Linked DNA regions of Coturnix japonica. The protein of the gene in region 1 purifies or fractionates together with the protein of each later gene. This does not show direct contact. Links are inferred from orthologs where the notes say so. Each region holds a gene or a part of one and is shown on either strand. Other genes may lie near its edges.

Region 1 (7,833 bases):
AAATGAGAACCACGTAATAAGATGCTGATGCTCAGTAACTTCTGCTGATCCACCCCGCTAAGCTTTAGAAGAGGTGCTACAGACACAGCATAAGAGGGAAACAAAGACAGCTAAGCCTGTCTCCAAGGTTTCTACTTCGTTTCTACTACATCCAGCAAGCCCGACCAGTTCTTTTTCTCCTATACAAGGTAGGAGACTTGCCTCATCCACTGACTCCTAGCAGGGTGGACACCAAAACCCCAATTCTCTCCTGTGGTTTGAGCTGTGCCATGTAGCTCGCTGTCTCACATGCCAGCCAGAAAGCTGAAGGGAACATCTTGGAGAGAAAGGGAGCCCAAAGCACAAGACAAGGCATCCTACAGGTAAGGCAACCCAGAGAAATCCTGCACATCCTATAATTATTACTAAATAAATGCATGAGCTGGAATTTTGCATTACTGGCTGCGTGTGTTTAAGAATAGGCTGGGAAAGAAGCATGCTTATTTGGCATTTCCTGTCCTCACAGAGCAATCACATGGGATGTCATTAAGCTCCCTAAATCCCCTACAGACTCTTACTCACAATGATCCCATTTTAAACATGCCACTCTGTAACCCTGAGCCGTCCTGCTGCCCTTTCAACCCAGCCTCGATGAGCTCACCAGCTCCAAATACAAGCAATGATCTGATTTTTAATGTCAAATTTGGCTAAAACAACCATATTCACGTCAGCTATTTCTGTTCTCAGTGCTAACCACACAGGATAGAGGAAAGCCAGCCCTGGAGGCTAGACACCAAGGCTGCCCATGCTTCCAAACACTACCCAAGGAGGCAAGTAAACAAGCTTCTCATAACTCATGTCTTCATTCAGCTGGAAAGCTTGCCATGCTAAGCAACACTGCAACAGATGTCGAAACCGCTTCTTCCCTGCTCACAGTTGTAATCCCTTTAGAGGCTCACACATTTCACTTCCCAATCAACTACAGATGGGAACACTTGGCTTTCCCCTGATTTCTTTTTTCACTTTCTTACCAAAGGGCTGTTTTACTTTATGTAAACAACTCATTTAAGTTCTCAGTAACCTCTGCAGACCTCCTCAGAGACTCCAGCGGTCTGATATCAGCTCACCTTCCATGATATAACACAACTGTGCAGTGAGTACTAAGGCTGAGGCTCAGCTCTGAGTCCTGCTTTCATGTGAAATATGAACAAGCATCTGCTAACGTGCACCAAAAAAAGTCTTTACACTAAATAAGGATTTTATCTCTACAAGTTGGCATCAGAACCGTAGCAACCTGCTCCATCAATCAAGATTATTAAAAAACAAGCGTTATCACATCCCAAACACCAAATGTGGACTCTCTTAAATAAGAGAGACACCTTACAAACTAATTCAGCACAAGCCAAGGCCTTTTCATCCCATATGTGGATGAACACACCACTGTGTGTTCAGAACTGGGGATAGTTCAGTACAGAGCACTCACCCCCACTTTCCGTAAGAGATCTCCCACGATGTTGAGTGCAGATATTCTAGCTGAAGGAGTAAGAGGGCTTGTACCAAATCCATTTGGTATAGCTGCAAACAAACACACTTTGTTATACACGTCACTCCTCCACTGTTAAATGTATATTTTTAATCACTTTTACATGGAGATAAATCTAAAATCTTACTGCAGACTCTTTGCACCAACAGTAACACAGGCTGCACAATCACTGGCCATAGAGAGAAGAAAAAGCTTAATTCCTGCCCAATACCCTCCTCCCCATTAGGTACCCAGGCAGAGTTCATGCACCCTCCATCTGCATAGCTACTGCCTGCAATCTATCTAATCCAACCAGAGCTTTCTCTGGAATCTACTTTAATTTAAAATAAATAAATAAATGTTTTAATCCTTGCGATTGACCTGAGCCTTCCAGATGGGAAGAGGACTAGGCTAATATCCCACAGCTTCCTGAGAGAACAGCACCCCCGAAAGCACATGGTAACAAAGACAGCCCAGACTGTCAGCACTGCTACCCACTATTTACCCACCAGTGAAATATTAGTCACAGCATTTCTCTGCAACCCCAAATAAATTCTACTGCAGTCCTCTACTGCGGAGTGCAATCCTCACCCCCTACAAAGCAGTAGCTAAGCTTCACTCTTTCTTTTCCATAGTATTAACTAATTATACTCATTAAACAGGTCTGACACTGCTCCAGTATTCCAGCACATGCTATGTAGGGATCCACATGTACCCTGTATTTACTTCAAGTCAGATTCAGACCAGGCCCTTGTTAGTAATTTTTGGGCAAGCAGAACGTACTCCCAACCAACCAGGCACAGTTTGCAGGAGTTGTACCTTTTGGGGAAGGAAAACTATTTTCAGATCCTTTTCCAACAGGTGTAGCTGGCAAGGAGAGAGAAGCCTGGACAGCTGAATCCATCTTTTCACAGTCTAGAGTTGGAGAGCTCGGCGCAGACTTGCGGGTGACTTCCTGCTGCCTTTCCCGTACTGCCAGCTCCTGCCGCAGGTCTGAGTGTGCAAGATAAAACACACATTGGATTAGTGACAGACTTCTCCAGCATTCTGTTCATTTATATAGAAGAGAATACTTGGCAATAATCAGTGATTCACTGTTGCTGGCTCTCTGCAGCAGCAAAAGACTCTATCTTAAATACCATCACTGCCAGATGGAAAGAGAGCCACATTCTACTGGCCCAGAGAGCTGTGTACACCCAGAAAGTGAGGCAGGTGACCTGGCCTCAGCATTCCTCCCTACTTGTAGTTTGAGTTCCATGGAAAGTGTGTTGCAGAAAAATGCAGCCAGTCACGAATGCCTGCTAACTGCATTCAGATGGGAGGTTAAGGAAACACGTTAATGACCTGATCTTGTGATCTTAGGATCCAACACTGCCCTTCCAGTTTAATAATCTGTAAGATCGCACACTAGCCAGATATTGTGAAGGGATGCTGTTTCTTGATTCATCAAAATGAGAACAAGCAGACTAAAGAGCTCCATAGCCCAAATGACAGGAAAAGAGAAGGGAAATCAGGAAACCAGTGTTTTATTTCCACTGTCTCTCTGGACTGCCTTGTATGACTACCTTGCTACCTCCCACTTCCATACAGATTTGCTATAAGGAACATCCAGCACAATTCAGTCATGGATCTGTAAAGTCTCTAGAGTGCCCAGAGGCAAGTAATAATACATTACGTGGTTGGCTTTTTTTTTGTTTTCTTTTGTTTCCTTTTCAGGCACAGCCTAAGAAGGTCCTTTATAGGTCCTTGCCTTCACTGAGGAACTGTTTCCAAAGAAATAGTTTGGAAAGAATTCTGAAAAACACTGATTTCTAACCTGCCGTGACAGCACACTAACAAGCACACTGCCCCACCAGAGAAATCACACTCCCTAACCACTAAAATAAAGTTTCCCCCATGTACTCAACATGAAACCTCTCAGGGAATTCCCAACTCTTACAGCACTGAGGATTATCTGAAGCATCTCTGATGCCACGGGTCTAACCACAGCCTTTATGGGCATATCTTAAAGAAGTCAGGCAAATTCCAACAGGCTTAGAAGGTAACAGCAGGTAGTATTTTTAAAGATGGTTATTTACCATTTAGCATGCGTTTCCCTGTTATTTCCTGTACTTTCCCTGTGCCTTGTGGCACAAAGCCATGGAGAGGGAACTTTTGGAACACAGCTTTCAGCTCTACTAAACCTGCAGAAAGCACTACTTTCCTACTCACCTTGGTTAAAAATCCTGACAGAGTCTGACACTAACTTTACCCAACATGAGGAATTTTTCCCTCTTAGATTCAACAGACATGCAAAGAACACAGAGCATAATGTTTATTAGCAGGTAAATTCCAACGCTTCTATTACACATCCAGTTTCAATCTCATTGAGTGAGGCTTTTTATAAACATGAGCTCTGGTTGCTTCATGTCTCTGTTAGTAAGCCAACAACATACAAAGACAGAACTAATCAAGCAAGCCATACCTCTGGCTTCATCCTTTAATCTCTGTACAGAAACTAGCAATGATTCCTTGTCATCCAGTTCACTTTCCAAGAATGCATTTCTCTCAATAGCCTGGTTCAGCCTTTGTTCAAAGTCTTCCAACGAAACTATTGTTGCCCTAGAAATAAAATCCAGAATATTAGGTTCTTCAGCTCAGCTAACTTAAAAGCGTATTCAAATACATAACAGAGGAAAAATGTTAGCGGGATCTACATTCAAGTTAGTTACTTGAAAGCGATGGAAATGCTTCTTAGAAAGGACCAGAACTCCAAAGAAGGGAGTGAGATGAAAAGAACATGACAGCATCTAGCTCTCCAAGACATACCAAATAGCTGGGACAGAGCCTGTGTGGCACACTCAGCTCCATTTTTCCCAAGTCATTCTCCAAAGTTATGTATTTCATGTATCGGCTCTGGAGAAACAGGCAGCAGCCCACAGAAAGAAGGGTACTGGGATATTTGTTCCATGATTTCAGTGAGACAACTTATGTGTGTCAAAAGTTAGTCATGAGGTTAAGAGTGCTGTGGAAACAAGGCCTCAGCTCTTAGATGTTATTGCCAAATAGCCAGAGGCTCATTCCTGGTCCCACTGAATCAGTGGCAAAATTCCCATTCAGCAGAACGGAAGCATGATCTACTCCAAAAATGGGCGTTTCTTGCAGCAGCCTGTTCATTTTCTGCTCTTACACAGACCACATTTGCTCCCCACGGTCATTAAGCTGTTATGCAAGGAAAGAGGAGACTCCTTTGGCGTGTTTAATTTAAAAAGGACTAAGTAAAGCACTAGCTTCCTACTTCAAAGGGGCTTTGAGCTACAGGGATCACAAATGTAAGAGTCACTGGGCTGGCAGTATCAAAACTAGAGCACTGGCCTCCCTTGCATGGCTCATTTCTCACAAGAACATGAAGCATTTCAGGTACCCCCCACAAGCTTTTCTTCTGCAGTGCAACACTACCAGATGATGGAGGTGAACTCCAAGGGTAAGTTGCACTTTACAAAGAATCAAGTGACTTAGGTTCTTTTTAAGATTATTTTTTGCATGCATATTTTTGTCCCCCCCACTAAAGGAATAATAAAAACATGAATCTGAATAACACAGACAAGCTCTTGTGAATATTTAAGGAAATAAGAGTTTTGCAGCCTTCACCTCTTTGCACGTTCCAAGTCATCGTTGGCCTGCTCCAGCTCCCTGACATACTTATGAAGCTGATCTTTAATGGCCCGTGTCTGGCTCAGGTCATCCTCTAACAATGACACCTGCTTGTAGCTTTGTGCATACTGGTGCTCCAGTTTCTCCTGAAAGAAAGAAATGTCCAAAGATAAGTATCAATAGCATCCACTCAGTGGTCAAATGGGACAAAGCAACACACTAGCTGCAGTCCACTGATCTGGGATTGCATGGCACGAACTGTAAAGGCAGAGGGAATGTACTCTGAACATCAGAAAGGAACAAAGGATACAATTACACACACTGTCCTGTGCACTGACTACTCATAATGACACAGCTGGCTGTTCAGAGATGCGCCCCCTGCACTCACAGCTGCTCTAAAGCCTAAACCATCTAGAAAACCAGAGAGAAATCAAACTGCACAGCCTCCCCTTCATGCCTCTCTCCCCTTACAATAGCCACACTGTCACAAGAACTCATCTGACATCTCCATTACCGAAAATCAGAGCCACTGCGATCTGTTACCAAAAACCTCCAGGTCCACAAACTTTTCTTTGAAAGACTGTAAGATTAATTCCAAAACATGCTTTCATCTGCTCTAATGGTACAGATAGAGGCTTATGGAAAAACTGCTGACCTTAAAAAAATAAGTACCAGCTATTGGGACTGCGCATGTGAACAGTAGTCCCAAAAACATCACTGTTGTTGGGTAAGATCCCAACTCTTGCTTTCATAAAATAATCCAAGATCACCAGAACAGGCACTTTTCAGGATCCCAAAAGAGGCAAGAACTTCTTAATGGAGAGATATTACCTAAAATTGACCTTCTGCACACACAGATCCTTATGAAAACCCTGTCTCCATAGATACGGCTATTAGGAAAAAAAAAAAAGCCCAAAAACTGCAAAGAAAGAGGACAACATGGTGGTCTGACAAAACATACTTGTGTTGTCCTCCCCGTTGCTATGCTGATGCTGCCTGTGTACATAACAAAGCCACCACTTGGCGAAGCCTGCAGAATATAAACAGAGGAGCACAAACTCAATGACAAGTGTCTAAGGTATGCTGCTGGCCTTATTTGGAGTACATGCCATGCTCAAGACTAGACCTTAAGCAGATGATTCCCTTTACTTCGTTTAGGTATCCAATAACCAAGAACAAGAACAGACAGCCTAAAATGAAAGCCGACACATATCTGAAGGAAGAATCAATATCATTACAGATTAGACCTACCTTTAATGTTTCCACTTCATATTTCAGCCTTTGGTTATCTGCTTGTAAATCTCTATTCCTCTGCTCAGCCTGCACCAGCTGTGCTTCCAACTCAGCTTCTAGTTCTCTGCTTCCCTCCTGAAATTCAGCCAGCTCTTCACGAGCTTCCTGGAAGCTGTAAGGAGATTTCATCAGTTCAAAATGCAGCTTCTCTCAAGCACAAAGTTCACCGCTCTATAGAAATAATTAGGTGAAAAAGCACCAAGAGTTTTAAAGTACTTAACCAGGGACCTCTACAGGGAAAGTAAAAACTGGGGGAAACAGAGAAACTGCATTGTTTACCTACAAATGGAAATTCAGCCCTTTATATCAAATAACTCTATTCAATACACATGCAAATACAACCTATATCAAGGCTATTTCCAGGATTCCTGCAAGTCTGACACTTGGTACCCCACTAGCCTTCACTCTAGCAGCCTTGAGAGAGTCACTAAGTAAAGCTTTTAACCTGCTTTAGGCAAAAACCAGCACAGAACAATAGTCACTGCATCTCAGCACTACCTGGAAATATAAGTTTGCTGGAAAGCATTAAGGTTTGGATCTCAGGGTTACTAAGTGCTTTGGTAGGAAGCCAGCATTTACCCACCTTATGCCACTGCAAGGTATTAAATTACTAGAAGCAGCAACTCCACATATTTCACTAATTACACTCTCATCTTTACCATACGTAATAGCTCAACTCTTTGCAACCAGCAGAGAAAACTGATGATATTTAGGAAGCTACATATTCATTGGCCTCAGAGAGACCTGACAGACTTTTCTCATACAGCTCAGGGATCTCAAATGCCCACCCTCTGTTCCCTACACCCAGAAAACAGACCCAAACAAAACAACAGCTTGCACACTGGGCTCCTTGGACTTGAGAGAGGTTTAGCTGGCTTTGCTTCTATTGCACACTAACATAGAGTGCAAGTAAAGCTCTCCAAAGGCAATGAGCAGGAAACCACCACTACTGACTCCCCTCCCCACAACAAACCACAAGCAGCACACAAGACAACAAGTTCTCTTGCCACTTTTTGTAACCAAAAAGCCTTCTGCTCCCCTTAAAAGATGGCAGAGGCAAACACAGGCAGAACTATGAGCTATAATGAATGTGCTTCAACATATTGCAGCCAGCTACCAAATAAGAAACTTCTCAGACCAAGTGCAAGAAGCCTGAGGGAACAGTAATGATACCAGGCAAACCCACAGGCAGTCTTCCTACTGCAAAACATCAAGCTAGTACTTAAGACAGCATTTTAATTATACAAACATACACATGATCATAGAAGAGCTCTTCTCCTGCTCTAACGTGCTCAGTCTTGAGTTCATGGCATAGTAACACTGAGAATGAAATACTCAGCCTGCACAAGGCTGGATCTAAAAGCTGCACCTAAAGCTGGAAATGGTGAGATTCATTTTAATACATC
Region 2 (7,833 bases), on another chromosome or scaffold:
ATCCAGTGATGGGCTGGCTCCTGACTGTGGGAATGGAACAAAGAGAGCACTAAATATGTACTCACTCCAGCCAAGAGATAATATGGAAAGAAATTTCTGCAGTAGTCTAATTGGAAGAAAAGGAAAACATTACATTTCACAAACTTGTTCAGAGCCTCAGAGTAGTTCTGAACAACACAGAGACTAGCAGTGCAGCAGCCTAGAGCTGCTGTTGCTGCTCAGATCTGCTCCAGGAGAAACCAATGGAGCCAGTACAGCAATACTGTTTCCAGCTCACAGCAGTGCTGTGTTGTGTCACACGCACATCCCTGCCCCCATCGGTTAGGTCAAGTAGCTTTCTCAGGAAGTCCCTCTTGCCAGATGAGGTATTAAAAATTTAAATTGCTTGGTTCTTTGAAAACTGACTGTATTGAACAGCATCTGACCTAACTGTTTTGGCAATGAAGTATTCCACAAGGATTACCATGTACTGCTAACTGCAGTGTCTTTGTGTCCAAAATATGCTGTGTTAGTGCTGCCACTAACTTCCAAAAACCCAGGCATTCAAAATAAAAACCCAAGCCTTCTCATTCCTTAATACAATTTCCTTTATGCTGCAGAAGGATGAGACCCTTAGTGAGATATTCAGCCTCAAGCTGAGTGTCTGATACTTATGCCAAACTTTTCTGGACGTGTATATTTAGAATGCAGGTATTTCAGTACCTTCATTTCATTTTCCACCCAGTACCCACAAATTCTTTTCCTCTTACTTAACTTCAGCTTCAACCATCTGATACTCCCTTGCCACCAGTGCCACTGACCAGCACTCTCTTCTCTGAGACACCAGACTCACCAGCCTGAGCCAGCTCTCTATCACTGAGTTATCCCACAGCACTCTCTAACACTACCTAGGACTGACCCCAAACTCATCCCAACCTGCCCACGACCACCCTCCATTGTCAGTTCTGCATTAGGTTAAGGCTGGATCCACTGCTGTTTATGGAGAGAATCAGGTAAATCATGCACCCCTCCTCCTACCAAGTATGCAATGCTCAGAAACTGCAATACTCAAACAAAACTGTCAGCTGTGGTCATTGCTCATCATGCAAAGATACCTATTAATTAGCGTACACATCAGATCAAGCTATTAACAAATGCATTATGAAGCTACACAGAGGCTAATTCAAGCTATTATCTAGGTAACTGTGCTTCTATTTCCAGAACAAGGCGGCCACATGATTCCTTCTGATCACTTCTGTGTTTACATTTGCTGTGCATCTGTCTCAGCATCTCCAAGCCCTGATGAGTTTGAGGAACACACGCTGAGATATTTCCTGACTGGGGTCAATTTCCAGCACTGGAGCTCTGTCGGATACAGCTCAAGATGTGAACCAAACGCAGACACAAATAAATGATGAAGACAGAAGTCCGGTGCTTGGAATGTAGTTCTCTGCTCTGATGTAGGACAAAAATAACTGTTTAGATGACTTAAATGTTAGATATTTTACTTCTCCTATTCCACTCAGCCCGCACAATGAGGCTGGTCTACTTAAACTGTCATGCAGTTTGCGGTGACTCTGTCATTAGTCTATATTTATACATAGATGGAGTGTGGGTATTCAAAGCTCCGCAGGCCTGTGTGCTCTTTTCCACTGTTCACAGTGTTGTCCCTGTAAGAGGTGACATAGACACATCCACAGAGCAGTCAGCAACAAAAGTCACGAATGTACAAGCATGTATTTCCTCCCTGCTCCCAGCCATTGGTGTCTAATGTCACTGGGATGAGTTATACTTTCTGGCTACCACAGCCTCCTACAGCAATAATTTTCTTGAAGGATATTGACTGCACTGTAGTACATGTACCTCCCTGTTGCTTCATCAGAAGAAAGCGTTCCTGCTGTTGTACTGTCACAGTGCACAGTATTAGCCTCGCAATTCAGCCTGCACAAGGAGCGCTAGATGAATTCTGTGATGACTGCCACTACGATCCATTCTATTCTCCTTTCCTAGTGAAATTGCTCAACACTGGGGTTAATACTGAAGTGCAAGCCAGATGAAACTACCTTTATAGGGTAGGCTCCATGGCAAAGATGGCTGACGTAGTTGCACTGGGTGTTCATTTCACTTTAACACTACGCCTTTTCTAAGAACAGCCTTTCAGTGAATTGATTTCAAGTGAAACATTTCTGACAATGGCATTTTCACAAGTAGCATTACCCATCACATCCCAGCTCGTTTTCCTCACCTTTGTGGTCCACAGCTTCACTGTCCAGTCAAATGATGACGTGACAAAGAGATGGGAAAAGTCAATTGAGCCCACTGCCATGTGGCAATTGATTCCTGTGACAGGTCCTTGGTGGCCTTCAAAAATTTCACCAATGCCAGCTTTGCTGCAGGAGGAAGAGACATCTACATTCAGAATGTGAGTAACGTGGTGTTTTAACATCATTTTCTTTTCCTCTTAGAATCCTGTTTTCTTTTAAAGCTCCATTTAACCTGCAAAGCAGTCTCCCTTCAGCAAGGCCTTTGCCTGCAGCAGCTCACTGCTCTGGGCACTCTTAGTGCTCAGGATCCAGCACTGAGAGACAGCTCTTTTTCCTTCTGAAGACACGCATTACTGACTTCTATATACACTGTCTACTACTATAGCTTGAAATAACATGTATGTATAATTATAAAGTAATTAGAAATTATAATTACACTACATCTTATACATCTGAGTACACTATTATTACGAGGAATAACCATTAAAATAAAAATGCAAAGATGCTAATGACATATCATTTGCAATTCTTCTTTGCTCGAATATTTAAAATAACTCTGCACAGCAGTCAGTCATGTCCCTGGGAAGAAAATCCTTCTTCACAAAATGTGAAGGGACTGCTCACATGATGGGGTATCAAAGTCATTATTGTGAGCATGGGAAGGTGTGCATATCGTCAGAGTGAGGCTAGAATAGGAAGGAAAAGCACAAATCTGGGTAAGAAAGAAAGCGGGCAGCTTTGCTCATCCTGTAAGCAAATGATGCCAAATCTGTTGTCCTTCTCTTGTGAGGAACAAACCAGGCACATCTGAAAGATCAGATGTGAGAAATGCCCTTGGGCGTGCTCCATTTATCCCAGCAGCCAAAAACTAATTCAGACCAGCAGCCACAACCTATCAGGATAATGCCTAAACAGACACAGCACTGCAATACTGTCAGCAGGGTAAAGTAAAAAATACTTTTAAATAAAAATAATTCTGAAGAAAATGTATGTAAAACTGTGACTATACAATATGAAGAATGTGTAATAGAAGTCTTACAATCTTAAACCACTGCTAAACCACTGCCAGTGTGTATTTGGTCCCTGAAACAAGGGCTGTGGTAACATATGAATCTGAAGACCACTGAAGTGGGAGGTCAGCTTTAGATCTATCAGTGAAATAGCCTGCTCTTTACAGAAGCCACTCAAGCATCCCAGAGGATGAAACTGCTACCAGAAGCTGAGAGCACGCAAGCACCCTGCAGATCACTGTAGCAAACACAAGGAATTGATCTCTGCAGAGGCCTGTGGTGAGAGCTCCTTGTTTTTGACTGCAGCCTTAGAAAGTTTACAGGGTGCAAAATCAGGAACTTGTTTAAATTATGGAACTGAATTTGCACTTTCCTAGCTTTAGAAGTGGAGAAATCAGTGTTTAGCCATACAGCACTCAGACCCTTGTTGTGCTTTCTTTTCTTTGCTATCTGCTTGTAGAGACTGAAGATGAAGCTGAAAATGGTAAAGAAAATAAAGCAGATTACCCTTTCTTCCAAGTGGCTTACGTCTGACTACCCCGCAACAAAGGTTTCTCCTAGGGCCTGGTACAACCTGCCCCAACACAGAAATCTACACCTCAGCCAGCACTTGAGGCTTCCCTTAGAATCAGGGCGGAGAAAGAGGCATTTCCAGGATGCCAGTCATCCCTTCTTGAAGTGGAAAAGGCAAGAGAAGTCACACCTTCCAGCAGTTACTGCTCCCTGCTGACTGCACAGGGAGGTTGGCCAAGCACTGCAGTGCATGGCAGTAACACACACGCATGAAGCTGGGCAGTTCCCACCCTAGTCCCGTCCCAGCACAGATCCTGCTCATCCAAGGGACAAAAAGCTAAGCACACTCCACACACGTGGCTACCTCATGCCAATACAGATGATGTTACAGAAGTACATAAAGCTTAAAGTCACCTTCCATGACGACAGGCTGTGTAGACTGTTCCCTCTTCACTGCCAACAACGAAGTTATTGACATCTCCAGTTGGGAAAGCCATTCCTGTAACTGCCACTGGTTTGGACTTGTTGTACACCAGCTCCATGCTCTCCTGTCGAAATAGATCTTTGTTATTACTCTGTAGCTGTCCTTTTGTTTGGCTTGTTTGTGGATGTTGTTTTTGTTTTGCTGATTCATTTCTAAATGTTATACAGAGTACCAAGAAAGGAAGGAGGAATCATCTGATCCAGTCACAGGATTTAGGGTTCTGTTTTGGGCAATGGAAGAAGATGCAATGTCACAATCAGGATGCACGGCTCCTGCCATCCCTGATGCTGTGTCAGACACTTCAGAGTGGCTGCAACATCATCTTTAATCAGGCAGAGATGACAGGTGAGAATTTAAAATCTAATGGCGCAGAAACTAAAGATAACACCTTAATGGCTATACTTGCCAGCCCCAGGCTCTAATAAAAAATACCCTTCTACTTACAAACATTGTCTAAAATCAGTTGTTTGTCAGGAAACACATGTAATATCACATGCACCTGAGGCGTCTATCAGACAGTGACATTTGTCCCTCTGCAGAACAACATTCAGAAGTCAGTGTCATATCATTCTTGCTATCCTAAACATTGTTTTTCAGAGATTTTCTGAACTAATCATAAATATTTTCTCTGGATCCCACCATCGAGCTACAAACCAGCAAGCAGATTTTCATCTTCTAGCCATATTTCAAAGTAAATCAGCATACTCGTTTTTGTACATCTCGAATACAACCAGCGTGAGCAGCCTGTGGCGGCTACATGATGCGTATGCTGCTACACGACGCATATGCTTTAAGCAGATTTTGCACAACTCTAACCTTTTTGGTTGTGCAGCCTAAATGGTGTAACCCAAGAATCCCACAAAAGGCCTGAATGATTTAGTAATTTTCATTTTCAGCTCTTTAAGTGTGTGTGCTTTCTACATTTAAATGCCCAGGCTGCTATTCTTCTCGAGCTAAAGATTACAGCATTTTTATCAGGAGGGATTTTTGCTGTAGCTGAAGAAAGTGAGCGTCCCTATGGGAGGAGAGGGCTGCAAATCCATAGAGAAATACTTCTGCTTGATTTATATTTTTCTTTCACATATATTTGCTTCTATTAACAAGGAAAAATAAGACCTGGAAAATGCATTGGCAGAGCACCTGTGGACCATATATTTCTACAAAAATCTTCAGGGGTGAGATCATTGTTTAGTGTCCTTAGATATGGCCAGATACTGTGGCAGAATCTCCTTCAAAGCCTACACCATGGCTGTATATGAGTGCTCTGGATCTGTGTCTTTGGAAAGTTTCAAGCTAATGCAAATCAGCAATACTGCTCTGCTCAGTTTAAAGCTATGGCGTGTAGCTTGACATCAAGCCCCGTGTCCTTTTCAAGATAACTGTGAGCCATACACTGAATTTCAGTGTGACATGGGATGCATTCCCATCCTTGTTGAAAGTCAGTTTTGAATCTGGGAAATTCCATCTGAATGATGAAATTCTGGAACTGAAATGTTCACAAATATCTGCTGGAAAATTCAGTATTCCACTAAGTAAACACACAAGGATTTATCTTCCCTACATTTAAGTGAAAAATAGGGCAAAGGATTCAGGTTCCTAAACACAGATGTCTGGGCCATTTTAGATGCCTCTTCTTCATTTCCAGAACTGCAGCAGTTTTTCATAGTCCCCAGACACAACTACCAGACCCATAATGTATATGAGGAGCATGAAGAACACAATCAAACTTTGAAGTTGGCCTCACTATCAGTAAGAGGTTAGATGGGATGAGTTCCAGAAGTAGCTTACATCCTAAGATGTAAGTCCAGTGCCGTACCCTAGAATATCTAAAGTGGTATCTCATGCTGGGATGGATTGAGTTGTCCTCTAGAAGTGCTGGTCTCTCTCTAAATTAACTGTAAAAGGAACTCAAATGATCAGCTTGGACTTGACAGGGACCTTTAGATGGCTAAGGAGGGGAGGAGTCCCACATCTTGTGTCAACACTGAAAAGCAAATAACTCAAGAGTAATTGCACATTAATGCATTATTAATGGATAATTAAAGGAATCATTAAAAGCAGTTCCTATTCAGCATTTTCATGATCAGATCCTATGATGTTTAATAAAACAGTGATATGCTGGAACAGGAAATATACAAATGTACTACTCTGAAAGATAACACTTTCCATAGGGCCTCCTCAGCACCAGATTCTTTGTTTAGTTTCCATTATTATAATCACAAGTGGTTTGGACAATTTTCTTGGACTTCCTTTCAGTCCTGATACAAAGGGGGGTAGGAGGGGGAAGGGAAAACAATAGCAACAAACATTCCAGAGCGGGAAAAGGGGGGGGGGGGAGTTAGCTCTAAAACATTTGATTTGCATTGTGTTTTTTTTCCTTTTAAATACTGGAAGCAGGCAACAAAGTGAGCTTTCAGACTTTGTGCCTTGGAAACCCATAGTGCCTAGGGTGTGTTCAGTGGCAGTGCAATCTAGTCCATATTTGTTAAACAACACTGTAGAGTAAGTACAATTTATACCACAGGCAACTTCTGTAATTACCATGCTTTAAAATGGATTATTTCATTTTCACTTGAAACTGACCTATGTATTAACGTATTATAATAATTATATGATTTGTGGTAAAGGAAATGGGTTTTGGCTCTTAGCAGAGACTGCTGGAAGCAAGCTGTATTCTTTCAAGTGCATCCACTGGTTTTAGTTTGTATAAGATGTGAGGTTTTGGCTTTTAGGAGCTATGTTCCATTAAGCAGGTATCCATCCTCCTTTGCTGAAGGTGATTTTCTCTTGTATAGGTAAAAACAAACCCACCTGTGGAGTTGAGAGCATGTCCAGGCTCCAGGAGCACATTTTGCCATCCGTGGAGACAGTGATGAGATTGTGTGCATTCTGTGTTCCAACTACATTGACACAATACACCGGATGCTGCAAACACATTAACACTGGAAGTCAGAGAGACATTCTCACATCCTCAAAACACATTTCTAACATCTCGTATCTTATTGTAAAGAATGATTAAGTAGTCACATAATGTCTGGAAAATACAGGACCAGGCTTTTGCCATGTAGGACTTCAACTTCTTTTTTTAATTTCAATTCTAAGAGGCGTGTTATGGACATGGAAGTGTTTTTAATGTTTCATTTTCCTCATCATAAAACAACTCAGCTGGGTAATGCTGTGAAAATGCTGAATTATGTGGATGGGATTTCACCCACAGGGACATGTATCATTCTACTGATGGCTTTCAGCACTGAAAATAACTGGCAGAAAGAGGCAAACCATCCAAATGGAATCAAAATGAAAACTTTATTGAAGAAAACAGCTGTGTAAAACTTGAACTCTCCCAGAATTTGGCTTGCATGCTAAATATTTGCAAATGTACTTCAACAGAAAAATGAAAACTAGTCTGTCATTGTTCTCTGGTATTGGACAATATACCTTTTTAGATCTGTCACTAGAATTGTGGAGTGACTAAATTCAGGGTGTTACACCTGATTCCTCATAGCGTGGTCAGTCAAAGGCTGAATTCCACTTAGCATGCAGTAATCAAATTCAGTCTGCTCATTTTCCAAGAAACCTGCTA

What was found.
Region 2: the proteins of NDEL1 (region 1) and DYNC1I1 purify together in Homo sapiens (affinity purification with western blotting; 3 studies listed by BioGRID and IntAct, with this or other methods). This does not show direct contact. The link is inferred for Coturnix japonica from reciprocal best matches to the Homo sapiens genes NDEL1 and DYNC1I1.

Annotation. Positions count from the first base shown.
Region 1 is NC_029533.1:1,499,312-1,507,144, reverse strand, and holds part of NDEL1 (nuclear distribution protein nudE-like 1), read right to left. Parts: intron 6,540-7,833; coding exon 6,386-6,539; intron 5,281-6,385; coding exon 5,132-5,280; intron 4,103-5,131; coding exon 3,966-4,102; intron 2,495-3,965; coding exon 2,321-2,494; intron 1,555-2,320; coding exon 1,463-1,554; intron 1-1,462. UniProt on the Homo sapiens protein: Required for organization of the cellular microtubule array and microtubule anchoring at the centrosome. May regulate microtubule organization at least in part by targeting the microtubule severing protein KATNA1 to the centrosome.
Region 2 is NC_029517.1:21,977,806-21,985,638, reverse strand, and holds part of DYNC1I1 (cytoplasmic dynein 1 intermediate chain 1), read right to left. Parts: intron 7,176-7,833; coding exon 7,062-7,175; intron 4,315-7,061; coding exon 4,181-4,314; intron 2,370-4,180; coding exon 2,225-2,369; intron 1-2,224. UniProt on the Homo sapiens protein: Acts as one of several non-catalytic accessory components of the cytoplasmic dynein 1 complex that are thought to be involved in linking dynein to cargos and to adapter proteins that regulate dynein function.